Rhinolophus ferrumequinum: one gene and its partners. The protein of the gene in region 1 purifies or fractionates together with the protein of each later gene. This does not show direct contact. Links are inferred from orthologs where the notes say so. Each region holds a gene or a part of one and is shown on either strand. Other genes may lie near its edges.

Region 1 (11,060 bases):
GAGTCTGGAGCCGTGTACGCTTCTGGGTCAATAAAAGAGAATTGCAGCTGGATTGCAAACCAGGCTCAGGGCAGAGAGCTTCACTTGTGAAATAACAAACAAGCCCATGGCCCAGCGCACGTCACTCACTGGGCTGAGGCTCTCCTTTTCCTGATGTCGCAAAGTCCCTGAACGACATCCCAGAGCCGGACGAAGGCTGTGTGCCCAAAACGTGCTTCTTCTGAGACCCCGATGATGGAAGGCTCTCGAGGCATCCAGCTGCACGGCCCTGGCCAACATCTGCCAGACTCTCAAAGGAAACAGTGGGTGACAAAAACAACGACTTTGACATTTAAGCCAGTCTTGGGTGCATCTGAGTTTCCCACAAACCCACCGTGACACATGTTTTTGCAGTGAAGCATCTGAAACATGAGTAAGAGGCTCATGAAAGAGCCCACAAGACCCAGGCATTTCCAGTCTTAAAAGATGTTGTTTGGGGTGAGCCTCACACCCCATCCCACTTCCTCCCTGCCCTGCAGGCAGTGGACCCCCAGCCCTATGCACTTGGGGGCGCTGCTCCCGGGTACCGCGAAGCATGTTTGTTTCATCGTCGCTCTCACACTGTGCCCTTTTTGGCTTAGAACTTTGGCTCAAACACCAACAGGCTGTGGGACCTTAGACAAGTCACTTAACTTATTTGAGCATCAGTTTCCTCATCTATATTCAAAGAGCAGAGACTTACTGCGTGTCTCTAATACCAGGCACTCTTCTAGGTTTGGAATTCATGTTGGGCCATTTTCTCTTTGGGAAACTGAGACTGTCAGTCACTGATAAGACTCAGTAAGCAAGATGTGAGCTTCGTCACTGTTCCAGCTGCGCACATGCATTATTGTGCTTGCATAGGAGAGCTGAGAAGAAAAGACAGTCCATCTGCAGACCCACTGCGTGAACTTGACCAGGTCAGAGGCGGCCACCAGATACTAATTGCAACAGAACATGATGCACCTCATGAGAAAAACAGTGAGTGCGCTGAATGAAATTGAAACATGGAGCCAGGAGGACAGTGTCCCCCTGGCTTCTTGGGACGTGCCCTGGGTTGCCAGAAGGTCATCTGGAGACAGGACATCTGGAGGCAGGAAAGACCAAAGACCCTGGGACCCCACTGGGCTACAATGGGAATGGATGCCTGGGGGGGTAACCCTGGTGGTTCCTCCCAAAGGTCTTCTGACGTGTCTGGGTTTAAGAGCCAACAATCGATGAGAAATTGAGAAAGTGAATGAGTTGTAACCTGAGGGTGCTCTAAAACCACTATTTGGGGAGTCTGTTACAGTTTTTCCACATTTATGTATTGAGTGCATATTAGTCAGGCACTGTGCTAGGCAAGGGATACAATAGAGTGCAGGAGAGAGACACAAATATACATATATATTATTTATATATGTCATATGTTATATATAAATAATATATAAATACATATTACATGTCTGAAAAATATATGTAAATATGTCTCTAATATACCTAATATATATATTATATGTGTGTGTGTGTGTATATAAAACTGCCGTAAGTCCCAGAAGAGAAACAAGCCCAGAGTATTATGAGAGAGAATACTAACTTTGTTTATCTCATGTAAGTGGACAGATATTTGGTCTGTGACTGAAGGATGCTGGGAGCTGGTCATTCGTAAGTGGGGCAGAGATGGGGCAAAGAGCAGTCCAGGTAATGGCAGTGTCTCAGGCAAAGAGGTCAACAAGCACTGACCATGATGAACGGAAAGGCCCGTGTGGCCATGGTGTGGTGAGAGAGGAAGAGAGTAGAGTGAAATAAGTTGGAGCGTTAGGAAGAGCCCAGATAACACAAGGGCTTGGAAATCATGAGAAAGAGTTCAGATTTTATTCTCAAGGCAATGGGAAGCCACAAAAGTGTATTTTAAACAGCAGACCCACATGATCAAATTTAGTGGCAATTAAACGAGTGACAAGGCCCTTTTCAGAGAGAGGCAGAGAAAAATGCAATGTTGTCAAACTTCCACCGTAAAGTCAGCAGCAGGCCCGTGGTACCTGCAGTGTCATCAGGAGATGGGGCACATAGTGTCACTGAGTGAGGTTGCATTGATTCCCCCCAAGGAGTCCCGTTCCTGACCTGGGACCCTCCTGCCTTCATGAATTCGGTCAGCATGTATTTGTTGCGACTTTTACCCAGTGAACAAATAGGCACCGTGGACTGGTGGCAGTTATTGACTGGAAGTCGCAGTTCACATTTAGGTGCCTTCACACTATGCTCTCCCCTTTGTCGGTTCCTGTAACTTGTCTCTTCCTTTGCCTAGTGGTCACAAGAAGCTTGTTTCTTCTAGCTCTAGAGCATCATACTATGCCTTATGATTTCCCTACAACGTACCTATATGTTTGTAAACAGTCCCTTTTATTAAGCCTGTTTCAACCTGCCCTCATGTGAGTGTTCCATCTGTTTGCTGATGAAATCCTGATGCTAGAACAGGAAGCTTATTGACAGAAGTGATACGTCAAAAAAACGAAAACTTGAGGAAAACATCACACTTGTTGTGAAAAACTTTAGATGCTCATGATCACAGTTATTGTTTCATATAGTTCTCAAGGTTTGAGACAATACAAAAAGAAAAGAGAAAGAATGAGGTATAAGCATTGGAAGGGAGGATTAAATATTGTCATTTCCCCCCCCCATAATATATATGTACATTAAAAAAAAATCAGAAATCCACAGACACACTAATCAGAAGTAAAAAGAGACTTCCACAAGTTTGCAAGATTCAAGATTATTTATTACGAAATAAGGAGCATTTATTTAAACCAGTAACAGCCATCTGTATTAGTTATCTATTGCTGCCTAACAAATAACCCCCAAATGTAATGGCTTAAAATAACGTGTATTTATTATCTTACAAGGTTTGTGAGTCCAAGCTAGACTTAACTGGGTATTGTGAACTAAATGTTTGTGTCCCTCCAAAAATCATACTCAAAACTCTGCATCCCAATTCGATGGTATTAGGAGGTGGGGCTTTTGGAAAATATTTAGGATTAGATGAAGTTATGAAGGTGAAGTCCTCATGAATAGGGTTAGTGTCCTTTTAAGAGTCCCAAGAGAGCTTGCTGCCTCTCTCTCTTCCCCCAATGTGAGGCTACAATGAGAAGCCAGCCATCTGCAATCCAGAAGCCGCAGTCTTTTTATAACTTAGTCTCAGAAGTGCTGTCCCATCACTTCTGCTATATTCTGTCAGTTAGAAGTGGATCAATAGGTCCAGCCCAGACTTAAGGGGAGGGTATCCTAGAAGGGCACAAATATCAGGAGGTAGGAGAAACAAGGGGGTCATCTTAGAGGCTGCCTACCACAGAATAAAAACAAAATGCCACAGAAAATAAGACACCATGTATAATCACAACATTACAAAGCAATTAATCTAAGAAAGAATGTGTGAGACCATCCCGGAGAAAATTGTAAAGGTCATATAGAAGACATGAAAAACGGTGGATAGGGTGGAAACGTTGTAAAGATAACACTTTCCCCAAGTTAGTACAATTAAACAGTGCCGCAGGTCATTTTGGGAACATGGTAGTTTGTTTTTCCTAATACATTAATGGGAGGTTAAATATACTCAGGCAGCTAAGTCAATTTTGAAAAACAAGAGCAATAAGGGGGAATTTTGCCATAACTAGCTCTCAAGACAGTCTACAAGGCTGTAATTATGAAAACTGTGTGACCCTGGTCCTGGAATAGAGAAATCAATGAAACAGAAATAAGAGCCCAGAAAAAGACTCAACTATATGTAGAAGCTTGGTATGTGGTAAACATACCACTGTTATTCCCTGGGGGAGAAGATGGATGGTGTCGGGAAAACTGGCTCAGACATGGAGAAAAACAAACATGGATTTTTATTTTACATCACAAATAAAGGTGAACTCCAGATAGATTGAAGCCTAAATATGAAATTTATGACAGTGTGGCAGAAGGTATTTTCAATGTCGAAAAGTAGCCACAGATTAATAGCTAGAATATGAAGTGCAAGGAGATCCTGTGACTCAGTGCAGAAGAGATAAATCCAATTAAAAAATGGGTGTGATGTATGAACAGGAAATACAAAAGGGAAAACCTGACTGTCTGACGAGTATATGACAAGATGTTCAACCTCACAGGAAACCAAAAAAAAAAAAAAAAGGAAAATTAATAGGCAAGATACAGCTTTATAACCACAAAGCTTGGAAAAAATTAGAAAGGTGGATAATACCACCAAACAGAGAGGCAGACATGGGACAAGACAGTTATGCTGTTGGTGTTGGTGTCAGCAGACTCAGACACTCGGATGAGCCGCCTGGAAGTACTTTGTGAAATGTACAGGGTAGCGTCTGTGTTTGTGAATAAACAAGCTCCCGCTAGGAGCCTTTGCTCACCTCGGGAGACGATCAGCTGCTGTTTTCACCATGCACCACTCTATGCTACTGCCATGCAGGACCATTTCTGAAGGTAATTCCAATTCTAGAGGGACCATAATTAAACATCATTTGAACTTTCAGCTAATGAGGTAAGATGCTTAAAAGTTTTGAACACGTTTGTACAAGGCGAGTTCTCTGATTCGGTCCGACACTTAAATTTGCTCCCAAGTCTCACCCACAGCCATTAAATCTCTGTGACTGGCAATCTTACCCCTTCCCCTGAAAGAAATCTCCAGCTCGGAATCTCTCTCCCCTGTCCATTCTCAAGGACCCTGGTTCCAGAATCAGAGGGACAGGTGCAAAGTAGGCAGGTAGGGTGAGACTGAGAGAGGCCCTTCGGTCTGGGTTCCCCACGTGGAGGGCTGCCAGCCTGCCGGCTCTTTGATTCATTAACTCAAAGCCTCTCTTTCAGGCAAATATATATTCTTCTTCAGCAATCACAGAGCTGAGATCCACTTTGCACAGATTATTTCTGCTAATTAACAAGGTTCTGATAGTACCCCAAACGATGATGGGTGCCTGTTATTGTTTGCAGGGGTGTTTATGTTCCCATGATTTTGCCATCCTGTGATGTTTGGTGGCATTACCAAAGAGCGATGCCAATGTGGAAAGGCTGCTCCTTTGTCACTATTTCAGTTCAGAGTCGCCCTGAGATCGGCGGGCTTTGGGTGGTTCGGGCACTTACAAGGATTCTGATTTCTCGTATCACAGAATGAATCAAGAGAAGAATCAGGGCAGGGAGAGATGTGAAAACACAGCATAATTTTTACTGAAGAATGCTGGAAGTTTCTGTAGGAGAGTGAGATAAAAAGCAGGGGGTGGGGAGGGGGGTCTTAGCCTGAAACACAGGGGTCCGTCTGTCCATCAGTTCACTGGTAGAATCTGAGGACACTGGATGTCAGGCATTGACTTATACTTTTCTCTGCAACCTCTTTCCTCTTCTTTTATCCTTAATGGAGGAAGGTCACTTACATTATGTCAATAGTTGACGTGTATGTGGGGAGATTCACTGCACTGACAATAACGGCTTCTGTTCAGTGCTTACTTTGGTGCTAGTGACTGTCTCCAGTGTATCAAATGCTTTGACTCATTTAATCCTCACCGTGCACTCTGCAATGGGTACCATTGTGATCGTGCACATTTTTCTAGATTAGAAAACTGTGGCACAGAGGATGGAAAGTGACCTGTCCAGGTCACACAGTGAAGTTGGAAGAGCTGGGATTTGAACCCAGGCAGTTTACGTCCAGAACCACACACCCATAATCATCATGCCACACTCTCTTTCTGTCCTCCCTATCCAGAATGGTGGGATTTATTAGAATCTTTGCCATTTTGGGTAAAATCTTTATAGTTTAAAAAACATTGTTCTGCGTAATTTGTGATAGAGTTATTTCAGGATACTTTAAGGTTGGTTTTTAGTTTTGGTTTTTGGTGTGTTTTTTTTTTTTTTTTTTTTTTTTTGCTATTTTTCTTGTTGCATGTATGGTGGAATTTTTACAATTAAATTTCCAGGTTATTACATATTAACTTTAAACTTACCATTTTTCATAACTGTGAATAAAGCCATAAGTGAGTCCAAAAGCACATTAACTCTGCCCAACTCTAAAATACAGTGAGAACGTTGTACAGTCACTCTGGTCTCATGCATCTCACACTTGTGTGAGGGGAGAGTAGGATGTGGGCAGAGGGTCTGGAGAGGGGGCAGTGCCATTTGTTAGAGTACTAGTTGTCGGAGTCAGACTATAAGGAAGCCCGTCTTATGCTAAAGAAGAATCTGGATAACTCCTGTTGTCAAACCTTCCAACAGAAGGTTTCGGTAAGCAAGTGAGATAATTAGATTTTTTAAAAAAAACATCATTCTTGCAGCATTTTGCAGGGTGACTTGTGCTTGGGAAAAGCTGGTGGTAGAGAGACCAGTTAGGGTACCATTGCAATATTTCAGGTGAGAGATAATGAAAGTCTGACCTAGGCAATCGCAGCAGGAAAAATGGAAGCGGAGAAGGTGCGATGGGAGGAACATGTCTCAGATGAAATCCACAGTCCTGGGTGACTAGTTAAATGTTGGGGGAGAGAAGAGCGAGGAGTGGGAGTTGTCACCAGAAAGAGTGACCTCAGGTGAAACAGGTTGTACAGGGCGTGAGGGAGGGGTGGGGTGGGCAGAACATGGCAGGGAAACATGTTTGGTGTTGGTTTGGTACAGGTGAAGAGCCAGAATGCTAGTCACAGAGATGCCAAAGCATGATACAGAAGCTAATGAAATTGGAAAAGTATAGCCCTCCAATAAAATGGCAACATAGGGATTTATGGGAGGTTTATATGGAAGAATGATTATGACTGGAGCTGAGCTCTTGGAAGTTACTGGCATATCAGTGGTACCTGAGGCCGGAGGGAAAGGTGGGGTCAGTCCAGATAGAGTTGCCATCTTTAATAAAAGACAAAGAAATAGGACAATCAGTTACATTTAAACTTCAGATAAACAATGAATACTTTTTTTTAAGTATATTCCATGTAATATTTAGGCCATACTTATCCTAAAAATTATTTTTTGTTTATCTGAAATGAAAATTGAGCTGGGCCCCATGCATTTCCCCTGATAACCATAACAGTGGCTGCAAACAGAAATGCCTATGGGACCAGGAAGGCACCCATGGGAGGTGCTGTGTGGCGGGTGGAAGGTGGTACAGGTGGGGCAGCCTGGAGCACCGATGTCTCATCCTTGGGGGCAGCTGCTGCCCTGCTCCAGCTGATCAGGTTCGCAGACATGGCCTCAAGGGTGTCCAATATTCTAATGTTTCCAAACAGAAGAGAAGTATATATTTTTAATGTGAAATATCCCAATTTTAAAAGAAGACGACTAATGAAAAGCAAAAACATTGTGAGGCACAGAGCAGGTCTGTGGGTTCCCCAAGGCACAGGGGCCACTGCTTTGCAACCTCTGATCTAATCTTTGCAGAGTGGGTGGGGAAGGTGTTTAACCTGCAAGTTACAGTGCTTTGCAAAGTCAGGGTGCGGGGAAGGGATGGCAGCAGGCCGATGACTCCCTCCCTCATGCAAAAGGTAAAATGTGAAAACGACGCTTGTGGCCACAACTCCATGGTCTTGCCCCTCAGTGTCTGAACGCGTCCCATGGCCACGGTCGCCATAGCTGGGCAGTGGCCAAAACCACAGAGGGCTGCACCCCGTTCCACCTGCTCTCACAGGGCTGGAGAGACCAGCCTATCCCACCAGCCTTTCAGGTAGCAGGAGCAATCATTGGGGCTCTGAAGGCTTTCATCAGAAAATTGTGGGTGGCAACTTCCTGGGCTTTGTGCTGAGAGCTTCTTGAGGCTTCTCACCTTCAGATGCAAAGTGAGTGGGTGTCTCTCTCTGAGAAGCAGAAAGAAAAAACGAAAGAGAGGTGTTTCCCTGGGCTATGGAAACTCTATAAAGAAGGAGCTGGCTTCCCCTCCCTTGGTCAGTCAGAAGCAGAGGTCCCCTCCTTGATCCCTGGGACTCCCCGGGATCGAGAAGGAAAACCTTTGCCTGGGGCGTCCCGAGTCACTGGCTGCCATGCAGCAGCCCTTGAACTACCCGTACCCCCAAATCTACTGGGTGGACAGCAGTGCCAGCTCTCCCTGGGCCCCTCCAGGCTCAGTCCTCCCGTGTCCGTCCTCGGTGCCTGCAAGGCCTGGTCAAAGGAGGCCACCACCACTGCCGCCGCCACCACCACCGCCGCCATTGCCACCGCTGCCGCCACTGCCACTGCCACCTCTGAAGAAGCAAAGGGACCACAGCGCAGGCCTGTGTCTCCTTGTGATGTTTTTCATGGTGCTGGTGGCCCTGGTTGGATTGGGCTTGGGGATGTTTCAGCTCTTCCACCTACAGAAGGAGCTGGCTGAGCTCAGAGAGGTAAGCTGGCGTGTGGATTGCTGTGCCCTGGAGGCACGGGGGGGTCACACAGCTCTGTCACCGTGCAGGGGTCCACGGGGACCGCAGTCTTGCACAGGGCTTTCCAATCCTTGCTTCCTGTCTCAGAAATGGGTCGTTCTAGACATTTTATTCGACAGAGAATTGCAGGTGGTTCCCATGAGGAAAAGGAATATTTTCTGTTGGGGAAAGAAAGGATCAAGGCTGTAATAGGAATGGCAGGGACAGATCTTCTTGTGTCCTGTGACAAGTCAGCCTGCTGAGCCGCGTACTTGGTGATCCGAGAAAGAAAAAGAACTTTGAGTCTTGTGTAGAAGTGAATCTGTTCAAATGGCCCATCTTCATATTTTTGTTTCTTAATGCTTAAAAATATCGGAACTATTCCGAATCACAAAGCTGAGGCATGGGGAGGCACAGCGGCTCGGCCAAAGTCAGAGTCAGGAGAGCTTCTGCGGTAGTTAGAGTCCCTTTCCAGGGCTGGGTTTAGTTGATAATTCTGCCTCTCGCTTAAAGAACTTCATGTTGATTATGTGTCTTTTTCTTTTTTGCCAGTCCACCAGCCAAAGGCATATAGCATCATCTCTGGAGAAGCAAATAGGTGAGTCCTTTTATGCATGGCCATTGAGCTTCCAAAGATAGCCCTCCGTGCTGAACCATGTGGGTGGAAGGCCTTGAATTGCAGGCGGCTCCCATGAGGAAAAGCATCCATTCCCGGGCACATGCATGCTAACGGAGCAATCCTGGCGAATTCGGAATCTCTGGTCATTTGGGTTCCTTGAGCTGCCCTAACCTGTGAATGAATTTTACTGTGCAAAATCAGTGTATCTGGGTACTGCACACCATTCAAAATAATTCCCACTGGCCTTTGGGAAGAGATGCACACAAGTACATCCCTGGACCTTTGCCCCTGAGCAGCTGGCCCCAGGCTAGTCCCCTTCCTCCGGCCTCCTGGTTCCCATACACAGGGTGGTGGCTGTAAGTCCTCAGGAAAAGGGGCAGTGGAGGAAGAGAGCGATGTTTATAGGAAAGGTTTCCTCCTCTTTAAACTCTCAAAGATGTTACTCAAGAGCCAAGAGTTTTAAAACATATTTTATAGGATATGTTTAAAAGCTTTTTTTAAAATAAGTGCAAAATCAGTCATCCACGTAGGATGGTTCTTTTGCAGTCACTAGAAAGCTTGGGGAAAGACTCCAGCCATTATTCGAAGGGTATTCCAGCTTCATGCACAGAGGCAATCGTGAGCTACTTTTAGCAATAAAGGAAAATTCTTTGTATGAGACCTAGAACAGGGAGAGGATGGAAATGTTGAGCAATGGCCTCATGAAACTTCAGAACATAGTTTTGGAAACTGGAGAGATAGATTTAAGATTTTCACCAGCTCATCAAACTAAGACTTATCGACATTTAGATTTGGTAAGAGTTGGAAGGGAGCTTAGAGAGCATCTGGTCTAGTCATCTCATTTTTCAGAAGAGAAACAAAATACCAGACAGGTTAGGTGACTTGCCCAAGACCACTGGTGTGGAACTGGGGCCAGAAGGAACACAGGCTCCTGGTGCCTTGTCACCTCCAGGGCTCTCCTGTATATGGACTGATGCCTCATGAAATAAGGCAACTCCCATCTCGCTATGATGCTCATGGAGTGAGAAACAAAGAAGACAAGCGAGACGCCCTGCAAAGACAATAAGTAAATCTCACCCTTAGAAATGGACGAGAAAGCAGAAGGCAGCACTGGCCACCCAGTCTCTGAGGTTGTGCCCAGTGCAGGCGACCCATCTCTCTGTTGCCCTCGAATGTAAGCTCCTGTCGGAGCCCAACCTTAGGACGCTCTGGTCCCGGTTCTGGGTCTGAGTCCCTAAGTGTTAGAAAGTCCACACATACACAAGCAGAGTAGAAATATTTGGTAGAAAAAAATTAAGGCTCTGGAAGGTTTCTAAACTAAAACAGCTTTGAAAATCAATGGAATGTGGCTGGTGACACAGGTACCTAATTACTCATCTTTCACCCACATTCTGGAGTCATTTTAGTGATTAAAAGTCAAGTGAACAGATGAGTCAGGTCTACCAACTCCAAAAAACAATTGTCTTCTCCAGATCAACCAGAAATTGGTGAATTATCCCATGGAAATCAAATGAGCAACTTGACTAATAAGAGATGCAAATTAAAACAAGGAATACCCATTTTCATCCATCAAATTAGTAAAGGTTAAATACATAAAATGAAAAAGCCCAGACTGGCAAAAATATGAGAGAAAAGGTCCTGCTTAAACATTAAATTGACAGCCAGGGGTCATGTAAATTGCTGTACCTTTTCTGAAGAGCAGTTTGGAAAAAATGTATCAAAAGATTAAAACTGTTAATTTACTTTTGTAATCTCATCAGTACGAATTTATGTTAAGAAAATAATCAAAGATGTGCCTGAAAATTTATATGGAAGGGTGTTCATCACCTCCTTATCAGCCTATTTATAATAAACAGTTCAGAAGAAACATAAATGTCTCTTAATAGGAGGTTAGTTAAATGCACTGTATTGTATTGAGATGAGAGCCTCATGTGTAGCAACTGAAAACCATGAATCAGGACACTTAATGCCATGGAGACTGTGCATCGTATAGTATTAGATAAGCAAAAACAGGTTATAAAGCAGTATGTTTAGTTTAATATTGACTATACCCACATATATGCATATTTTTATATTCTTAGTAAAGAACTAGG
Region 2 (10,130 bases), on another chromosome or scaffold:
TCTAAAACGATGAGGTAATAGCCTCTTGTCAATCACAGGTGTTGGTCAAGTGGTCCCACACCCAGAGAGGAACAACCCATTCTAGAGGCAAAACGGATAAAAACTCCAAGTCCTCGCCATTCAGAGCCTTTTGAGCCTGTTGAGCCATGCTTTTGCTCAGGCCCGCTCCTATCCCTTTGGAGTGTACTTTCTCTTCTAATAATGACGCCCTTGAGCCAATGCCTTCTGCTCGGGCCCACTTCTACCTCTTTGGAGTGTACCTTTTCTTCTAATAAACTGCTCTTTCACCACTTTACCTCAGTATCTTGTTCAATTCTTTGCTCGAGATGCCAAGAACCTGGACACTGCACTGAGGAGGGCCCACCCCCGGTAAGGTAGTAGCCAGGATTCCTAGTTTTCCTCCCCGAGGGCCAGGTTCAACTCCCGGTGTGGGAACCTAGCCCGGACACTGCCAGTTCGACCCCTGGTGTGCAAACCAAGCTTGGGCATCGCCCCGAGAATGGCCCCCCCCTCTGGTAACATGATCATTAGTAAACCTGAATTATTATATTTTTAAAAAATTGCTACTAAGCTGTAGATGTGTATTTTCCTTTGTGCATGTATACTTAAAACAAAATTTACTAAAACACACAATTAAACAAACAAAAGTTTACAGCTGGAAATAAAGAATTTTCTTTAACAGTTACTTATCTCACTGGAATATCTTTTTGCTCTTTCAAAGTGGAGAGGGAGGAACTGAGGCAAGAAAATTTAACATTCATTCATGTAATAACAACTTATCAAGAGCTTTGGTTCTGGGCTGGTCACAGAGAATGCAAAGGTAAGCAAACACACACAGTCCTAGATTCCTGGGGCTGACAGCACCCTAAAGGAGACAGCCCCCCAGTTGCAGAAACAAACCTACAATGGCAGTCAGGACCCCGTAACAAAGGTAGGGGAGGTCAGGAATGCTTTCCAGGGGGAGTGATGCTTTGAGCTGAGACACGGGTAAACATAAGGTACTGGGGTTAGAGGACAGAGAACAAACAGCATTCCAGGAAAAAAAGGAACCGCATATGCAAAGTCAACTACAAAGTGTTAGGAGGGCAAAGTAAAACTATAATTTTCAGATGGTCAATATACAAATGGTGCAGTAGAAAACTCTGCAAAATTTTTATGCTTTCTAATCTATTCCTTCTTTATTAAGAAATTGGTTTACCTTCTTACTGTCATAGAATTTTTCTTTGAGACTACAAAAACTGTCCAGATATTCTACTTAAGAAACTTTAGAAAATATGACTATTATTCAAAATTGAATGGTTAGCATTTTCCACACGTTTTAAAAAAAACATCAAAACCAACTTTAATCCTAAGGCTCTTTAGAAAGACATTTCTAGTATTTTATTCTTTTTTTCAGATAAAGAGATTTTTGCTCAGGAGTGAGTACAAAGTATGCTTTCCGAACTGTTCTTACTAAGTGTATCATAGAACAGTCCTGAGCAATTCACTCATTTCCTAGTAGTATTTCAACATTCCACATCTACTTAATTATAACACAAATGTATAACTTTAGACACTGGATCTGGAAAGAGATGTTGTGTTTTATTAAAGACACCAGGGACTCCTAAAATCTTCTTATAATGATTATTCCTAAAACTATGTAATCACAAAAGGACCCAAATTAGTTACCAAAGGTTAACTTTGACATGGCTATCACATCTGAATTATATAGTAGCTATGACTCGATTAACTTCCATTAATGATTTTCTTTATGTCCCTTTTCATATGTTATGGGTCAAAAAAAAAATTTTCCCAAGATTTAATAAATAAAACTTTACTCTAAATTCACCATATGACTGTGTCAAAATACAACCTGTTGAGGCTTCTAACAGAAGTCAAGACATTACACATTCACATTAGCCTTTCCCTGTATTTGTTCACAATTTAGCGACATGCACTCAAAACTGAATTCAACTTTCTCCTGGGTTAGGGATTAGGATCAAAGAACAGATAATCCCTTTAAAATATGCAGTTACTGATTAACTTTTCTTGGCAGTGAAGAATTGAGTTTTCTTCTAAAAGGTGAGTATACCAGAGGAGTTTTTTAAAAATCACTATAGTTCAAAGATAACTGTATCTTCAAGAAAACATGTAAGAAAAATACATAAGAAAATCATACCTAAAACAACAGAAGCCAAACTCTGGCTTCAAAGGAAAATTCAAAGGGAAACCTGACACTACCTAAAATGTCCAGATATTGCATTTATTTGTCATCACTTAATGCTCCTAGCAAGAGCCTGTGTACCAAATGAGTCTTAAAATTTTATTAAAAAGTTAGATGTTATTAGTTATTAAAAGTACATGCTCCCCAACTACCCAATTAAAGAAAGGGAAGGGAAAAACCCAAACCACTAGATGTTGGAGGGGAAACAGCAAGTACAACTTTCTCTGGGAACAAATAAAATGAGACTTTGGTTTGATACAGAATCACCATGAAGTAGGAAAACCAGAACTCTGAGGATGGGTCCTCTTTTAATAAATGCTCTTTTCCTCGTCCTTTCTTAAAAAAAATGGAAGTAGTTTGCCACCATGTAAACAAGGAAATGAGTCCCATGTGGAATAGTGATTAGAAAGGTGAAAGAAACTAAGAGCCAGAGTTACCGGAATTTGCCTTCAGAGTGGTGGGGATAATCAAGTCGGAAGTGCTGACACATGCTTTAAGGCTTGTGTCTAGTGAGGACATGTGCAATTCAAGTTTAGTACAATAACTGTCCTTTTCGATTTTATGGAAAAACTAAGTTCAGGTGTAACTATCAAATTTTTCATCATGTATACCCACACTAGTTGCTAAGCCTGGACCCACCTAAAAGACAGTACCAGTAACGTGCATTAGATCAGAGTGTGAAATACCACAGCCCTGACCACCACTAAACAGATAACTACCACAAACAGCTTTTAAGGTTGCAAGGTGAGTGTAAAATAAGGCCGTGTAACTGGTAATTTCTGGAATGTGTGGCAACAAACCTCAAAATCAAATTTCCTTAAGACATCCGTGCGTTTTGTTGAGTTTTGAGTTTTGTTTTTAAAAGGATCAACGAAACATTATATACGTTAAAAAGGTAGCAAATTCTATCACATCTTATAAAACCAAGGAAGGGTATAGCTAATAATCTATTAACTAGTAGGTAATTATTTCAGTAACTGCAGGCAACAGGTTCCCTGGAGAAGAGTGGCCTTTAAAAAAAAAAAAAAAACTAAACACTGCACCTACATAAATTTAGAGCAAAAAATTTAACAGACTGAAATGGTATCAGACAATCTTATCTTTTAAAGGGATTTCACATTTCTTACTACTTTCCTGTCTCTCTACCAAAAACAAAAACCCAAGAACAAAAACGTTAGGCTTTCAACAAACCAAAAAAAGCTTACAGATTTCAAACATAAATATGGAAGAGGGTGCTGATCTTTACAAAAGTGACAGAACAAAAAACTATTTGCAAAAGTCAATGCATTCCTCAAAACACATGACTACCTCCTGGAATCTTCATTCAATGGTCCTGGCTTTCCTAGTTTACATTAAGAATTAAGGAAAACACCCCAGGAAAGGGAGCGGGGAAGGGTGACGCCAGCAGACGCAAGCAGCGAAGGGTGACCTCTAATTCTACGAAAAATACTCTAAAATAAGCAAAGCACCACTCCTGGCCAATTACCAAGCGCGAGTCAAACTTCCACCACGTAAGTCGGGCCTGGGCCTTTTTCAAGCAAACGCGTTATTGAAAGCCCAGTCATTTCCCTCTTTGTATTTTATTCACGCTGGAAATAACATTCAAACTGAAAAGCTAACAAAACAAAAGAAAAAAAAAAACAAGAAAGGAAGTGGAAGCGCGGGGCGTTCAATTTGCGTTTTCCCTCCCCCGGAGCTCTCGCTCGCCGGCCTGAATTTAAAACGCCGAGTCCTCTCCCGCCGGGGTCGAGTCCCCCAAAACCGGCCGGCGTGCCGGGAGTCCACCAGGAGGCGGAGGGAGGGGACGCTCCTCTCCGCCGCGGCCGGATGTGCGGGGCACTGGCGACTGGACACCACTCGGAACCTTACCAGCGTCTCCCGGTGGCCGGCACGGCTCCTCCGAGCGAGCCGAGGGCTGCGGGAACTTCACCTCCACGCGGCCGGCCGCAGCCCACGTTCAGGGGCAAACTTTGCAGGAGGCCCCGCTCGCGTCCGGGGTCCCGCCCCACGACCCTCTAGCGCCTGCAGCCGGGCCCCCGAACGCCCTCGCCCCGCGTGACCCGAGCCCTGGGGGGCTGCGAGCCGGCCCCTCAGCTTCGCCCGCGTCCCTGCCGCCCGCGTCCCCGGCCCGGACCCTCCTGGCCCCGCCGCGGAGCCGAGGGGCCGCCAGGGCCTGCGCTGCGCGCCCCTCACCTTAGTGGCCATGGCGGGCGGATCTCCGGCCCGGGACGGCCGGCTCCTCTCCCGCGCCGCGCTGTCGGCCCGAGGCGGGCAGGCGAAGGTGAGGGCGGCTACGACTGGGCCACGGCGCGGCGGCGGCGGCGACAGCTCCGCCTCGGCCCCGAGTCTGGGCGCTGGGTGACTCCAGCCGCCGCCCGCTCCGCCAGTTCCTGAAACTCCCCGACTGCGCGGCCCCCGCCCCTGCCGGCGAGCCTCCCATTTACCGCGGCGTGCGCGGCGCGGCCGGCGGAAGCGCGCCCGGTGCCCTCGGCCAGCCAGGCCTCCTCGCCCACTTTCCGCCCCCGCCCGGAGCCTCCGCCCCGGGCCCGCCGCCGCCGGGCGCCCTTTGTTCCACCGCTCAGGGACGCGGCCCGAGTCGCTGCCGGAGTCGGGGTCGGTGCCCGGGTCCCAGCCCCCGGCCGCGCCCCGCCTGGCTGCCCGCGGAAATGTTGGGGGGAGTGAGGACGCCTCGGGGGGGAGCGCCCTCCCCGGGAGCCGAGTCCCGACTGGCTCCTCACGACCGCGCCGCACGCAGCGGCTCAAGTTCGGCTGCGTGAGGCACGAGGCTACGGTGACAAGTCTACGTCCCCCTGGCCGGGCACGGGTGACCAACGGGGATCTTGGTCCTGAGTCGGGAGTGCTGTTGGGCCGACTGTGCTCTGGGCTGAGTAAAACGAGTGCTACATAAACAGCCGGGACCGAGCGGAGCAATGGCTCCCTGGTCCGACCGGCCCTTCCAGGAGGTTCTGCCTCAAGCCTGGGGTTACCACAGGCTGGGATCCCGCCTGGAGCTTCTGGGCCGCGACGCTTGGAGAGTTCATTCTGAGATGTCACATTAACCTTCTGCACGCTTGATCAATTTAAAAATGACGCAGGGCCCTAGAGGTTTGGGGAAGATACAACGTATTTTCTGAAAGTGGAAATGAGAGGTCTAAAATTTTCCATATTTTTTTGTCAACATGTTTTTCTTCAGAGTTGGACACACGGGTTTTATTCATACATGAATGACTTAAATTGAGCAGTAAGATTATCACTGGAGTACCAAAAATATGACTGGAAGATATATCTTAATTGGTATGTCAGTGTAGTACAGTTTGTTTTTTATTATCAGGGATATATATGTTAAAAGAGGCAGCTATCAAATCAAGTCTAGATTTGATTATTAGCCTAGAAAAGCAGTATTTAGAACTAATGCCAAATTTTGTGTTCTGTCGAAAATACTCTTTGACCTCCAGAGATTTGAAGAGTTATTATACATTCAGCAATGGAGTTGAAAATGGATATGGTGTTACAGAATTTTCTGTAAATTTTTTGTTTGCTGAGTTCATGGCTAAAGCTATAGTCATAAATTATAATACTCATAAATAGTCAAAGTAAAAGGAAAGCGAGAGATTACCATTCATTGACAGTTTAATTACTATATACTGTTTCCCAGAAAATAAGACCTAGCTGGACCATCAGCTCTAATACATCTTTTGCAGCAAAAATTAGTATAGGACCCGGTCTTTATAATATAATCAATATAATATAATACCAGGTCTTATATTAATTTTTGCTCCAAAAGATGCATTAGAGCTGATGGTCCAGCTAGGTCTTATTTTCGGGGAAACATGGTACTAGACTTTCACATGCTTTAATCTTATTTAATCCTTATAAGGAAACTTTGAGAAAGTCATTGTTGTCCACTGTTTACAGACATGAAGAAATCAAGTCTCCCTGAAATAACTTGGCTGATTTGGTAATACTTTTCAAAATTGAAAATTCCCATAACCTTGGGCCTAGCAGGTCTATTTCTAGGAATGTATCGTGCTGTCAGATTTGCGCAAGTGAGTCATGATGTTAGTTAAGTAAAGCATTGTTCTAACCCAAAACAGAAAGCAACCTATATGTTTGTTAATAGGACTGTTTCAATACAGCATACCAGGCAAATGAAATTCTGGGAAGCCCATAAGAAAAGGATAATATTTAAAAAGGCACAAATAAAGATAAACATAGCATAGCACAATCCACTTGTGTAAAAAAATATGAAAATACTTTGTATATACCTAGAAAATGCCTGAAGATTCATTAGATGCCATCGTCAGAATTTTTGAAAATGTGTTTATTACTTTATTTTAAAAATGTTTGTTTTAATAAACAACTAAATAAATATCTGGACTAAGAACACATACTAACTTGTATGTGGAAAAGCCAGGATTTGAACTTGGGTAATAGCATAAGTAATGAATTTTCCATATTCTTTCACATTTGAAAGCTGCCTTCAGCTCCCTGCAGCAGTTCAACAATGCATGTTTTGTAAGGGAGCTACAAACTCGGGGTTGATCCTGTGACCTGTGCTTTTTGGCATGCTCAATTGACACCCGCCTGGATGGGGTGCTGGTGGGCCAGTTGTGCTCTCCTCTGGGCTGAGTAAAATGAGTGCTGAATAAACATCCGGGACCAAGCAGAGCAATGGCTCCCTGGACCTTCCAAGAGGTTCTGCCTCAAGCCTGCGGTTACCACCAATCAACCTGGACACCTGATACCAAGAAAGGAAAAAGACCAGAGTCCAAGCTTTTCCGATTTGAACAATTTCTGTAGTCTTGGTTTCATCCTTAGAAGTAACCATGGAAGACATCAAATTCATGATGACTAAGCAAAATCAATAAAAACATTAAATGAAAGTGAAATCACTACCTGTATTATTGAGATAGTAAAAACACCATGACATTGTTTCCTAGTCCGGTAGTGCATCACTAATGTAATCTCAGGGAGTCTGAGCTCCAGCTCCATCTAATACCACCCTCCCGGGGCCATACTGGCCTCTCGCTTCCTCCCCCCCCCCCCCCCAGCATCATACTCTGTTCCATGGAGAGGTTCCTGGGCATGTGACCTGCGCAGGGTCCAGTGCTTAGAGGGACCCCACTCTTGCTTTAATGCTTCTCTCTCACAAACTTTAAATTCTGAATAGTCTTGAACAAGAGACCTCACGTTTTCATTTCATTTCACAGCAAATTACATTGCTTGTGTTGTTTCTTTGTCTGAATTACCCCTATCCCCCCACCATCTGTTCACTTCCCCCCACCACCCCACACACCAGCTGACCTCCCACTCATCCTTCGGAGCTCTCCTGGAGCGTCACAGCAGTTAGTATTCCTCAGGGAAATCTTCCCTGCCCCCAGTTTCAGTCAAGTTCTGTTGATTGAAGGTCTCACCGTACTTGGTTTCCTTGCCTTTGGAAATTTGTTTGTAATTCATTATTGAGTGACCAGTTGCCTGACTCCCCCCATCAGACAGTAAGTTAAGGAGCAGAGGCTTTGTGCCCATGTCTCCAACCTGCCCTAGCACCACTGAAGGGGACCAAAGTTTTGCCACCCCCAAAGTGTGCCTCTTGGGATACTGATTTTAAGTTGGTTATTAAGAAATGAAGACCCCGAGAGAACCTTTGACCCACGCCCTTTCCTGCCTAAGAGATTCAGATGGAAAGGCCTTCTCCTGGAAGGGAATCAACATATTGTGGCACATAGAAAGGCTCTAAGCTGGGGCCTGTTAACTAGACGCCCCACCTCATGTCCCATTGTTTCAGAGTTGGCTAGCAGGGATTTGCCTGTCACCTGTGTTCCCCTCTTACTCAGCTACCTGTAAATTGCTTATTGCCTTTGAAATCCCAGACCCGTTCCCCTCTCTTTGTCCCTAACGGCATATAAACCTCAACTGCCCAATGCTCGCTGGTCCGACTGGACCTTACAGGGTAGGTAAATGACTTACCTATTGGTGTGCATTAGGCCAGAGCAGAGACAAGAGCCCACTTCTCTTATCACGGGTCTCCAAAACATGTCATTTTTGAACTAAAAATATTTCAGGTGAGAGGTTCGAAGGCAGTTTTGTGAAGGTCAAGACAGTCACTGTACCAGTGACATGATCCGTCTCTCTGGCCCAATCTTATTCCGGCGTGCGTTGTTCCTGTGGCCTTCAGGCTAACAGCTCCTGCTAGAGAGATGCTAATCATTAGAAGAATTCTACGTGGGACTTGAGTTTTTAAAAGAACAGTCCCTTGCTGGAAGGCGCCGCTCCCAAGCAGGTGGGGGAAATGTGTACAAAAATAATGATAATTTATCAAAGGCTTGCAGGAGCCTCAAGAGCAGACTCAGGTCAGCTGGGGTGAACAGACTAAGAACAAACAAAGAGATTTAGAGATTTCCGGGTCTTCCTCAGACCCTGCTGGTACCCAGATGTCTGTGGTCGTCAATCACCTCTTGCCCCTCCCATCTTCCCTTCCCTTGACTTAAAAGAAGCCTGAACTCTGTACTTTCTTAAGATTGATTTGAGGATTAGAACCCCCCATTTTTTCAAGTGGCACCTTCTCAAACAATAAACCTTTCCTTACTCCCAACTCTTATGTTTGGAGTTTTGGCTTTCGGAAGCGTAGGGCACATGGACTCTTAGACCGGTAACAAGATAAACCAGTCAAGGACTCCTGTCTTGAACTGTGCTAGGAGCCACCCACCCACACTAGAAGAACAGAAGAAGCATGATATCCTTTCATCTTATTCCAAGAAGTCCAGCCGCCAAGTGGAACAGTGGCTTCTCCCAAACTAGAAAGTTGACGTCACTCAGGATAATCACGAAAAGCCCTGGGCCAAGTTGGGAAGAACGTGGTTTCATCTTCTGATTCCATTTGATCACCTGTTCAAACCTCTTTCTTTCCTCCCATCCACTTCCTTCCTTTGACAGGCTTTCTCAGAGGTGGTGCTTTCCGTGGGCCGTCCTCAGAACCCAGAGGTTGAAACTGGCACACGTCAAGTTCAGCTATTTGCTCTACAGCCTGAATTTCCATTACTCCCATTGGTGAGAACACAATTGATTAGCTAAGGAATTTGATTTGCATTTGCAGACTGCGTTTGGCTAGATGGCACTTTTAAAAGAAAAAAAGCTGTAGCCAGAGCCACAAAGAGTTGTTCAGTTTAGGCTTTGAGCTCTTTTTATCATGCCAGGGGGAGGGAGTGACAAGCATTCCTAGGAGCCTGTGCTAATGGCACAGCTGGTGGCCATAAGAATGGCTATTAACTCTTGCCCTGGGTTTGTTCAGTAACAGTTAGGTGTTATGACTATACACTTATAAAGTTAAAGCACCTTTATTTTAACTGCAGAAATTAATAACTTCATCACTGTAACTCTGAAACTCTCTAGCCCCAAACACATCTTTTCACATTGAAATGATAGTTTTTAAAAGTTGTCTTTTAAAAACTTAACTTTCTTAGATATAGCTCTAATGGTTCCACAAAACACAAATACAGTCCTCATCCCAATTCCCTTCTCTCTTTTTCCATTCTTTCTTCCTTAGGAGCACAGACTTTCCTGTCGACAGAGCTGGATTCTTGTCATGCAGGGTCTCTGGTACCATTCGCTGCATAAGAACGCAGGATATGGTGAGGCCAAAAAGGAACACCAGAGACCCCGCATGACAATTCTGTTACTTACAATCCATGTAACCTTAGGTACATTACTTCTTCATCCTCAGTTTCCTGAACTGCAAAATGGGAATAACAACAACAACAACAACAACAATAATATCTATCTCATGGGTTTGTTGTGTGGATTAAATTAGATGATGAGCTCAAAGGATTTAGCTTGACGCTTTCTACATAATAAGCTCTCAGTAAATATCAGTTATAATTCTTGTTTCTTTCTCTAGTCGAAATTAGATTGTCCTTATATTCCAATAGCT
Region 3 (10,916 bases), on another chromosome or scaffold:
GGACAGTATCCTGCTCCTTCCTCTGAGTAAAGGCTCAACCCTTGGGACGAGCGTGGGACCCCTCTTCCCTCCAGCAGGCTGTGGGCCCCCAAAGCCTGCCCAATTCTGCCTCAGCCAGATTCCAAGGCCCCTCCTAACTTGCCAGACCTCAGGCCTAGGAGTGGCAGTGCAGAGTCCAGGAGGAAGAAGAGTAAGCCCAAAAGGGCTTGGCCTATGGGGAGGGGTCCCCCGGCTGAGGGAACGTGGGCCAGCCTCTGCCTAAGTGGAGAGTCAGAAATGGCCTCTTTCAGCTCTGCCCTAGGGTCAGAAAGGCCAGTCTGGCTTCATTCCCTCCTGCTTCAGTGACAGTCTAGGAGCCCTGGGTATGGGGCTGCCTTCCCACCCCCAGCTCTGCCCTGGTGAGGGTCCCCAGCCAACCCAGCGGGCAGCTGTTAATCACAGTGCCCCAGCTTCCCCCTCCCGCTGCTCACGCTGCTCACAGAGGAACACGCCATCCAAAGCCATCCAAGGAGCTGGTCGAACCAGCTTTCCCAGGCCCTATGCAGTGGGCGTGGCTCCACTTCTGCACCAGGGGGACACCTGCCCCAGAGCTCAGAGCTACATCTGCCGCATCCCTCTGTCCTCAACCAGACCCTCCCTGTAAGTCTCCCTCCCCCACCCTGCAGGCCTAAGAGCTCACTGGGTCCACTTTCCTTGTTTTATAGATCAGGAAACTAAGGTCCAGAGAGGAGAAGGCACTTTCCAGGGACACACAGCAAATTGGGAGCAGAGCCAAGACTAAAACTCAGGCCTTGTGTCTCCTGAAGCTGAAAGAAAAGGGAAGAAGAGGAATGTGGAGCTAAGAGAAAAGGGCAGAGAAGAGGAGGAGAAAGAGAAAGTGACGGGAGAAAGGAGGCTGGGAGCTACACAAGGCAGTCACTGGTTCTAGACTTCAACCCGGTGAAGGAGGGCAGGGCTGGTTTACTCCAGACTTTCCTGGGTACAAGTAGGGGGTAGTGTTTGCTGACCCCCAGGCTCAGTCCAGAGGCCTGACTCCTGGCCCCACCCAGAGGAAAACTCCCCACCAAGCCAGGGCTGACCTCAGGGCCTAGGGGCCAAGGAGCCAGCCCCACGCCCTGCAGACGTTCTTCCTGAGTTACCAAGCAGCCCCAGGGAGCACCACACCTCTCTCCTGACATCTGCCCTGCCTGTAGTCTCCAGGTCTCCATTCAGCCACCTGCCAGGTCATGTCAGCCAGGTTTGGGAAGAGGGAGTGGGACGGGCCATGTGCCCCAGGCCCCTGGTTCCTCCCCCCGCCCAGTCTGGTGCCCAGTCCGGTGCCCCTCGGTGACTGGCGATGAGTCACTTCCCCGGCAGTTCCTTGACAGCCCCACAGCAATAGCCCATCCTGTCCCTCCCCCACAGAGGGGCTGAGAACTGAAAACATAGCCGGGCTTGGGCGGTGGCCAACACAGACGTGTCCTGAGGGAGCCACAGGAGGAAGGAATAGTCTCAGCTGACCCACGGACTCCCTGTGCAACCACCCTTCTGTGAATACCAGCGTCTCCATCTGCAGAATGGGGACAGCGACCCTCCCCCACAGATCAGGAACTCACAGAGGATACGCAGTGGTGAGAACAGGCTGTGCAGGGAGGTGAGCTGGTGAGGCCGTGGGAAGGGGAGAGAGGCCACACTGTGCCCCATTTATCTGGGTCTGTACCCCTGCCCCCGTGAGCTGTGGGCTCCTCAAGCGCAAGGCCTGGGCCCTGGTTATCTCCATAGACCAGAACCCAGCCTGATACCTTGGAGGGCTCAATGTATAATGGGTAAGTGAGAAAACGAGACAGAAACAGAAAAATGAAGGAAGGGAGGAAGAGACGACAAGAAGGTAAACACCAGCTCCATGAGGCTGGAGACCAGACCTATTCACAGTATCCCCGCACCTAGAATAGCAGCGGCCACATAGTAGGTGCTCAACACACTTGCTGAATGAGTAAGAGACAGAAAGACTAGATGAGCTGTCCCATTCTGTGTGGGCCACGCATGTCCCCGTGTCAGCAGAGCGCCGACTCCGCAGGGTGTCCAGCCTGCACTGGCCCTTACCTTTCTGCAGGTGGATAATGTCAGGGAAGTTGGACAGCAGGCCCTGGTACAGAGACAGCATGTCGAGCATCTGGAAGAGGTCGTTCTTGGGCTGCTCGGCAAACATCTCGCCGATGGCTTCATAGGTACGGCCCGTGTGAGAGATGGCACTGTTGAGGGCCTCAGAGCTGAAGGGGGGGTCCATCTGGAAGGCATGGCTGATGGCCTGGAAGGCATTGCCCAGCTTCTGGAATTCCTTTCTGAAGCCTCCCACATGCTTGCGCACCAGCTCCGATGCTACAGTGCTGAGCTGCAGGACACTGTCGTCCATCTTCTTGCTGAAGGCCTTGAACGTGTCCACACGGTCCTCCACGTCCTGCAGGTCCTGATGCTCCGTGGGGATCTGGAAGGTGAGCAGGAAACTGGCACCCACCATCTCGTCCTTCTCTGCCCGGCGTTTGCCCATCTTCCACTGCTTGGCATCCAGACAGCTGAGGAAATGCTGGAAGCCCTCGTACTGGGACAGCACGGGGTGGCTGGTCATATGGTCCATCCAGAGGATGAGCCTCCGCTTCCGTTTCTCAATGAAGTCCTCCTCGAAGCGGCCTGTGGCCTGCTTCTCCGGCAGGTGAGGCACCGAGATGACAGTGAACTTGTGAAGCAGGCGGTTATAGAGCCAGTCAAAGTGCTTGTAGCGCCGGTAGACGGGGGAGCCGATGTGGGTGGGTGTGAGCTTGTAGGAGATGTAGCTCTTGATGCCCTTGAATTTGGTCTGTTTGGTGGGGTCCTCCACCGAGCAGGAAAATGGGTGGGGGCTGGCCTTCCACTGGGGGCCACGAGGGCCCATTTCGATGGAGTATGTCTCAGCGATCTTGGCCAGCATGGGCACATCACCCAGGATGAAGGCCTCCACGCCCGAGCGCACGAAGCAGGAGAAGCGGTTGAGGTTGCGCCCCACCACACTGCCCCGCTTGGCAGATGCCAGGCTGTCCTGCCGCTCCAGCGCTGGCTTGGGCCGGAAGGCCATGTGCTGGCTGGGGTAGGCCCCAGGGTAGGAGAGGTGGAGCGGCGGGTGCCCATTGGTGCCCAGCTCCCCCGCGCGCGGCCCCTCCACCGCTGTGCACCCGTCGTCCCAGTCGTCCCAGTCGTCGTCATCGTCCTCCTCGAAGCTGCCCTGCTTGGAGAAGAAGCCACTGCCCCCACCACTCCCAGGAGCGTTAGCCACATCGGCTCTGTCATACAAGCTCACCTGGGCGCCAGGAGAGCCTGTGGGGCTGTAGCTGGCGCCAGAGCGGACGACCTCCACGTAAGAGGCAGGGAAGAGGCCCGTCTCACCGCGGCTGTTCTGGCCTTGCAGCCAGCCGTCCAGCGAGGTCTCGCTGAAGATGACCAGGTCCTCGTCCTGCTGGATGCTGATTTCCTCCTTGTTCTCACTGCGGAAGTCATAGAGGGCTCGGCCTTTTAGTGCCATGGCTGGGCCAGTGGTAGAGAAAGACGAGGAGAGGATCCTGCCCAGAACTGGGGACAATTGCTAGGGTATCCAAGAATGCACTGGTAAACCAAGGCCTGCCCAGCAGCTCCGTCTCTCTGCCCTAAGGCAGATCTCAGCACCCAGAGATGCTGTCCAGCCTCCCCCTCTTCAAAGCTGTGTCCATGGCCCAGAAATTGCCCTATCAGGTATCCGGGCACCAGCCTGATGGCAGGAGGGGCTCATGTCCATAGTCTTCCTCCCTTCCCTTGGCAGCCCCTGAGGGGTGGGGGTCTCTCCCTCCTCCCACTCCCAGAAGAAAACTCAAGTGACTTGGAGAAATCAGCTCTGAGAGGGCAAGAATTCCTCTTTCCACTGGAACAACGTTCTAAAACAAAAGAGAATCACTCGCTAACTACAGTTCCAGAACCCCAGCGGCTCTGGCTCCCAGCTCCTTCTGGCTCCTCAGTCCTTGGGAGACTCTCACATTCCTCCACAGTTCTGCTCCTTCCTCCTTCCTCCTGGGCCACTGGGTTTTCAAAAATCCAGAAAATCCAAGAGGGGCAAGGAGAAAAGCAGCAGCCTCCTGAATCGAGTCCAAGGGTGGATGTGTCCGGCTTCCCAACGAGCCAGGCCGGGAAAACAAGCAGTGAGGCTTACACAACAGGCCGCCAACTCTCCGACCCGGCGGCCCAGCGGGCCCCCAGCAAGCTCCGGCGCCCGCTCCCCACCCAAGTGGCGAGCCCCCACCCCAGGGAACGAGGGGCACAACGAGGCGCTCCGGCGACTTCTGGCCACCAACTGAGTGGCCTCTTTTGTTTGCCTAATTCCTCAGCGGTTTCTGAGCCTGAGGCTAACCCTGGTGAGTCCCAGGACCCCGTCCAAAGGTAAGCCCCGCCGGAGCCTCCCAGGCCGGCGTACAGACCCCCGCCCTCGCCTGCACGCACACACTCCACAGGAGTTTGCAGAGTGAGCTCCGGCGCGCAGATGGCGCCCGCCTGGCTGTCCTCAGCTCTGGCCCGCGGGTCCCGCGGTGGGCGGAGGGCTGCCCTCCCAGCCCGCCTTCTCTGCACTCGCAGCCCCTCCGCGCCGGCAGCAAGAAGCCAGCTCCAAAACAAAAAAAAAAAAAAAAAAGGCGATTCCGGGAGGTGGCGTCCCAGGGAAGGAGGGAACAGCCGCTGGGGGAGGTGCGGGGTGGAGAGAGGGAGGGAGGGAGGGAGGGAAAGTAGGCAAACTCCAAGGCTCTTCCGCGAGCAGCCCGGCTGGCTGGGCAGGGACACCGGCTCCGCCTCCCCGGCCTCGGGCACCAGAGCCGCCCCGCCTGCCCCTTGCTTCTTTCCTTCTGGCAGAGGCCCTCAGATCAGGATGTGAGAGGGAGGAGAAGACCTGGGAAAGAGGGGGCCACGAGCCTCCAGGGCCAGTCCGCCCTCGCTGGGAGGCACCTCTCGTTCCGAGGGTCTTGAGCGTTGCGTTTCCTTCCCACCCCCCACCCGGCAACCGCCGCTGCCTCGCCTCCTGGGCTCTGGGCACCCTCCTTTTTCATGACGCCAGGGGAGGAAAACTCCGAAAGTTTGCAAAGTGCACGAGTGCAAGGAGGGCGCCAGAGCCGGGACCGGGGGAGGGAATTGAGGAAGGCTGCTTGGAGAGCCACAGACTACCCCTCCCCGCGCACCCTCACAGCTCCGGCCAGACTGGGCTGTGGCGCAGCCCCGGGGTCGCTCTCTGGAGAGGGTCCCCAGAGCCAGCAGTGCCCTCACGGAAGAAGCCTGAGTGGCCTGGGATACTGGCCGCTGCGGATCCTAGTGCTTTGCCCAGACAGCCAGGAGCACCCCTGCCTTGGGAAACTTCCTTCATGAGGAAAACCAAGACCGTACATCTGTGGCAACAGGGAACAAGCCCAGGCACCACCCGAACGGGTTCTACGTTGCTTTGTGCAGCGGCGGAGGAGACTGAATGTTGTCTTTGCCACCAGCAGTGAGGAGAAAGGGATGGTCGGTAGGAAAGGGATAGTCGGTAGGCTTCCGGGAAGAGGTAAGGGGGATTTGACCCTTGGTCAGACTATCCGAAACGCTTTGGGCACTGCCAGGCACAGTGCAGGGCACTGGGGATTACAGCACAAGGCAATCTGGGTTCCTGCCCTGGAGGGTTCTTGTCCTTAATTCATCCATTCTGTCTCTGTCTCATTCATGCAATCATGCACTCAAGGAAACATTAACTGAGTAGCTATTCTATACCAGGCCTCTGGGATACAAAAATGAATAAGACGTTATCCTTACCTTCCAGAAGCTCAGATATGTTGAGACAAGTAGACAGATGCCCCCTGCCCAGTGTGACTAGTGCTGTGAAATGTGCTTGGGAGGGCCCCGATCCCAGCCTAGGTGGAGCAAGGATCAAGGAAGGCTTCTTGGAGGAGGTGGTGTCTAAGGTGAGCCAAGGCCTCGGCCCCTACTCCCCTTCCTGGCTCAGCCCTGGAGCCTTGCTTCCCCTTTAGCTCCGATTTACTTCCCCTTCATTCTCACTCTTCCCACTTGTTGTAGTTTAGCTGACACAAGGCAGTGCTGCTGAATGTGGACACCTGGGCTGTTTTGAACGGTGTGATTTGCAGGCCTCTGGCTCCAAAACCCAAATTCATTGATGCAGTGAGTAGATCCAATTCTCAGGACAGGGCTGGCATTTGACCCAAATAAAGTGTTTTTTACAAACTCCAGAAGCCCAGGTATTAGTTTACACAGAGAAATAGATCTATCAGGCAAACCTGAATTTTTGTGTCCCAGGTCAAGGCAGTTTGGGCTGCTCCTTGGGAAGCCCAGTTACCAGGTGAGCACAGTGAGCCTGGAACCCTCAGGATGGGAGAGGGGACGGTATGGCAATTCTCTCAGCCAAGAAACCTTGAGATCTTGTCCTCCTCTGCAGGGCAGTTTAGCCTGGTGACTCTGTGACCAGCCCGAATGCTTCCCCTTAGCTGCTTTGGGGTGCCTCTTTGTGATCTCTCTTCTGTTCACAGAACCTTTCTCTAAGCCAGTTTAACAATAGCAAGTATAATACTTCCTTAGTGCTGGACACTGTTGTAATTATTTTACCTTTATTAACTCAATACAATTGGAATTTCTGCTCATACAACTAGGGTCGTACCTAGCCTAGCCCCACCCACTTGGAAAGCCTTCAGCCAACACCATGATGGCCTTAGTTGTTTCCTAAGCACTTCGGTCACACATTTACAGAAGAGTCATTTGGATTTACCCTCATATCTGTTCTGGGTGGCTTTTTATAACTTAGGGGACACCCTTATTTCCAGGTTTTTGGGGAAAACTCACTCTTCAGCCTCACAGACATTTCCAGAACTTGTATCTTCCATTCCCACCCTTCCAGGGACCCTCTTCAAGCCTAGGGGTAACAGAGCTCCTGGTTACTAGTCTCAGGAAACCACTCACCTTTGTGGTTTCCCTACACTCTGCCCACTTGTTTGGGAAAAGTACCTTTATTAAATTCTCTTCACGTTACTGTAATTGGAGTTTTTCTCTTTCCTACTGGGACCCTGATTCCTGCACAGGAAACAGCATGACTCCAGGCATCCAACTTTCCTCCTTTAGGAAAGGAGTCAGCAAGGAAGAACCTTGGCCGGTGGTTTCCAGGCTGACCCTGCCAGTGGCAGCACGGCAGACACACTGGACTATTGCTATAGTAATGTAGACAAGAGATGATGAAGTCCTGAGACAAGGCCGGGCTAACGGGCTGGAGAGAAGTAAATCTGGGAGTTTATGGAAATAGAATAGACAGGAATGGCAACCAACAAGATGCGGGTATTGAGGGAAGAATTAACTCCTGTCTTTAAAAAATAGATTCTTGACTCCACTTCCCCCACTATCTATTGCCCCATTTCTTTGCTCACCTTTGCAGCAAAACTCAAAAACCATACCAGTTGCCTGCAATTCAACCCTTTTTCTTCTTAAACCTCTCTAGCCAGTCTTTCGACTTCATACTCCACTGAAACTAGTCAAGGTTTCAATGACCTAATGGTTACTCTCAGTCCTCTCACTCACCCTACCAGTAGCATTTGACCAAGCTGGTCACTCCTTTCCCTTGCATACTTACTTCACTTGCACTGGGGAGAACACAGTCTCCTGGTTTCCCTAGTACTTCACTGATTTGTCCTATTCTCTCCAGTAATTCTTAACAGAGTGACTACAGTATTGTGGGCCTCTTGTCTTTTCTACCAACATTCACTCCTTCAATGATCTCACCCAGACTCATGGCTTCAAACACCATCCCTCTGCCAGTCACACACAACCTTTTTATCTCCAGCCCAGCGCTTTCTCTAAAACTCCACACTCACATATCTTTCTCCCTGACTGCTCTCCGTGGTCTCTCCTAGACATCTATAACTCAACATGGCCAAGATCGAATTTCTGATCTTGTCCCCCACACCTGTTGTACTTGGCAGCCTTCCCCATCTCAGGTGATGAGCATCTCCAGTTGCTCAGGCCAAAACCTGGAGACATTTTTGACTCTCCTCATCATCCTGGGACTCCTCTGTCATCAGCATGTCACTGCTGCTGTCCCGGTCCCAGCCACCATCTTTCTCGCCTGGATCATTGCAATGGCTCCCTAATGATCTCCGTGCCCACCTCTGTCTCCTGATAGTCTGTTATCAGCACGGCATCAGGGTGATGATCCTTTTGAAACATAGTTTAGATGTCAATCCTGTGCTCAAAACCCTGCAGTGTTGTGGGGACAGAGCCGGGAGTGCAGTTTCCAGGCTCTCGGCCTCACGTGGAAAGGTGCTGGCTTGGGTAGTAGATGGCCATCAACTGTGATCAGATGGCCATCAGCTGTGGCTACGCTAGCAGAAAATGGGGGCTAGCAAGAAAATGGTGTCTGGCAAGCGTGGATTGCAGTTAGGACGGCGGGTTGCGGACAGTGTGGCTCCTGCTTCCTGTGTCTCCAACCCAGCCGCCAGCGAGAATATAGTGGTGTGACTCCCCTATCTGTGGCTCCAGGGGTGTTCCTTTTTGGCCTCACCATATCCTGTGTTCTTATGTGGGGAGCAGGACCAGAGACCCCGCCTGACACCCTGTGTGACACATGGTGCAGCGAGCTGGGTCTTCCGCACGACAAGTGTCTTCCTCTCACTCAGCATCAGAAGTCCTTACAAGAGGCAACAGGCTTCTGTCATCCGAGTCCCTTTCCCTCCCCACCTAGCCCACTCTGCTCCAGCCAAGATGGCTTTGGTACTCCTCTTCTGACATGCCAGGCACATGTCTCCTGTCTTAAAGCATTCACACTGTTTCCTCTTCCTGAAATGCTAGTCCCCTAGATACACACATGGCTAAACCCTTATAAAATATCACCTCAACAAGACCTACCCTGACAAGCCCTACTTAAAATTACAGCCCATCCTCACCCCAAGTCCTACATTGTGCTGAGTTTTGTTTCATACCACTTAACACCTGCTAACATATATAATTTCCTTATTTATCATGTTTGTCTGAGGAGAAGGAAGTTAACCAAGAGCCCTGCTGCAGACATGCTGAGCAGGAGCTGAGGATGGGAGGGAATGAGGCTAGGGGAATAGGAAGGGGGAGGGGGTAAAGTGCAAACTGGGAGAGGTATTTGTACCATGTGTAACTGGTTAAGGATTAATATCCAGAAATACACAAAGAACACCTTCAAATCAATGAGAGAAAAAAATAGCAATCTGTGTGAGTTTTTTACTGCAACTGTTAACAAATTACCACAAACTTAGTGACTTAAAACAACACAAAATTCTTATTTTATAGTACTGGAGATCAGAAATCCAAAGTGGGTCTCACTGGGCTTAAATCAAGCTGTCAGCAGGACTGTGTTCCTTTTGGAAGCTCTAGGGAAAAATCCATTTCCATGCTTTTTCTGGCCTCCGAGAAGCTGACCACATTCCTCTTTTCCTGGCCCCCTTTGAAGATGAAGTCTTCATCTTCAAAGACTTGGTACTCACATCACTCAGACTTCAGCTTCTATCATTGTATCTCCGTCTGGCTCTTCTGCTTCCCTCTTGTGATTACCTGGGACCCACCACATAATCCAGGATCATCTCACCATCCCAAGATCCTTGATTTAATCACATCTGCACACTCCTTTCTGTCATGTAAGGTAACGTGTATTAACAGGTGTTGGATGGACATCTTTGGAGGACCATTATTCTACTTACCACACAATCCAATAGAAAAATAGACAAAAGACATGGAGCGTTTCATAGAGGAGGAAATACATATGAAACTTTTATTCATTGGGGAAATGCAAATTAAAATCGTAATGAAATACTAAAACACTCCCCAAATTGGTAAAAAAAAATTTTCTTCTCCCCCCTCCAGTTTAAGCCATTGTTTCTCAGTTTAGATGGCTGCCAGCCACCCAGCCACAGCAGCACACAGCAGCCCACCAGAGCCCAGCTCCAGGGAGAGCTGTTGTTCGCAATCTTAGCTGCGACCTTGGCCTCAGGAGCATGGTGCTCCAACCACCTGAGCAACCCGGCTGGCCCTGGTAAAAAATTTTAAAACTATCAATTGAGAACAAGGAGCAAAGGAAACTCTCATGCACTGCCAAAGGAGTATATAAACTGGTACAACCCTTTTGTTAAACAATCTGGCAATATCTATCTACTAAGGTTGAACACGCACATATTTTACAACTTGGCAATTCTGCTCCAAGATGTATACTAGAAGCAATTGCAGATGTGCAACAGGAGCCCTAAACAAATGTTAATAACAGCACTGCTGAAAAAGTCCCTACCAAAAAAAATCCAACCAGAAAAAAAAAAAAATTGGATAGAGCCAAACAATGGAATATCATGCAGCAGTGAAAAAAAGCAACTACAGCTACGCATAATAAAATCCTTATGGTGTGATTTCTTCTAAGCAACATTCTTCAAATGTCAATGTATATACAAATTACCGGGTATCTTGTTAAATGCAGATTTTGATTCTGTAGGTCAGGAGTGGGACATGAAATTCTGCATTTCCAACGAACTCTCTGCTGGTCCACAGGATACACTTCAGGTAAGAAGGTTCTCAGCATATTTAAGGATGATGTATAATGATAAAACGATTTTTCTTTTTAAACAAAAAGTTAAAATAAACAAATGAAAGAGTCCTGGTGACATTTTCTTAAACTGGCTGTTGGGTTCATAAGTATTCGTTGTACTTTATAACTTACATGTTACATATATTATTTTCCACATATCAAGTATTACATTTAAAAAGACAATGAAAAGCATACAAAAATAATACAAAATGATCAGCAAAGAAGCTAGGTGGCGTCAAAGGCTTGGGCAAATGAAGAGGCTAGTCCTGCAGCGCCACACTCGTATATTATCTAGCTGAAACAGTTAACTTTGTTAACTCAGTACTCGCTA

The links.
Region 2: the proteins of FASLG (region 1) and SNX9 purify together in Homo sapiens (co-immunoprecipitation; 3 studies listed by BioGRID and IntAct, with this or other methods). This does not show direct contact. The link is inferred for Rhinolophus ferrumequinum from reciprocal best matches to the Homo sapiens genes FASLG and SNX9.
Region 3: the proteins of FASLG (region 1) and SNX33 purify together in Homo sapiens (co-immunoprecipitation; 3 studies listed by BioGRID and IntAct, counting the BioPlex papers as one, with this or other methods). This does not show direct contact. The link is inferred for Rhinolophus ferrumequinum from reciprocal best matches to the Homo sapiens genes FASLG and SNX33.

Annotation. Positions count from the first base shown.
Region 1 is NC_046305.1:8,086,656-8,097,715, forward strand, and holds the start of FASLG (tumor necrosis factor ligand superfamily member 6), read left to right. Parts: upstream 1-6,617; 5' UTR 6,618-7,991; coding exon 7,992-8,330; intron 8,331-8,900; coding exon 8,901-8,946; intron 8,947-11,060. UniProt on the Homo sapiens protein: Cytokine that binds to TNFRSF6/FAS, a receptor that transduces the apoptotic signal into cells. Involved in cytotoxic T-cell-mediated apoptosis, natural killer cell-mediated apoptosis and in T-cell development.
Region 2 is NC_046286.1:99,675,425-99,685,554, reverse strand, and holds the start of SNX9 (sorting nexin-9), read right to left. Parts: upstream 5,260-10,130; 5' UTR 4,409-5,259; coding exon 4,397-4,408; intron 1-4,396. UniProt on the Homo sapiens protein: Involved in endocytosis and intracellular vesicle trafficking, both during interphase and at the end of mitosis. Required for efficient progress through mitosis and cytokinesis. Required for normal formation of the cleavage furrow at the end of mitosis.
Region 3 is NC_046289.1:99,975,103-99,986,018, reverse strand, and holds the start of SNX33 (sorting nexin-33), read right to left. Parts: upstream 4,470-10,916; 5' UTR 3,533-4,469; coding exon 2,083-3,532; intron 1-2,082. UniProt on the Homo sapiens protein: Plays a role in the reorganization of the cytoskeleton, endocytosis and cellular vesicle trafficking via its interactions with membranes, WASL, DNM1 and DNM2. Acts both during interphase and at the end of mitotic cell divisions.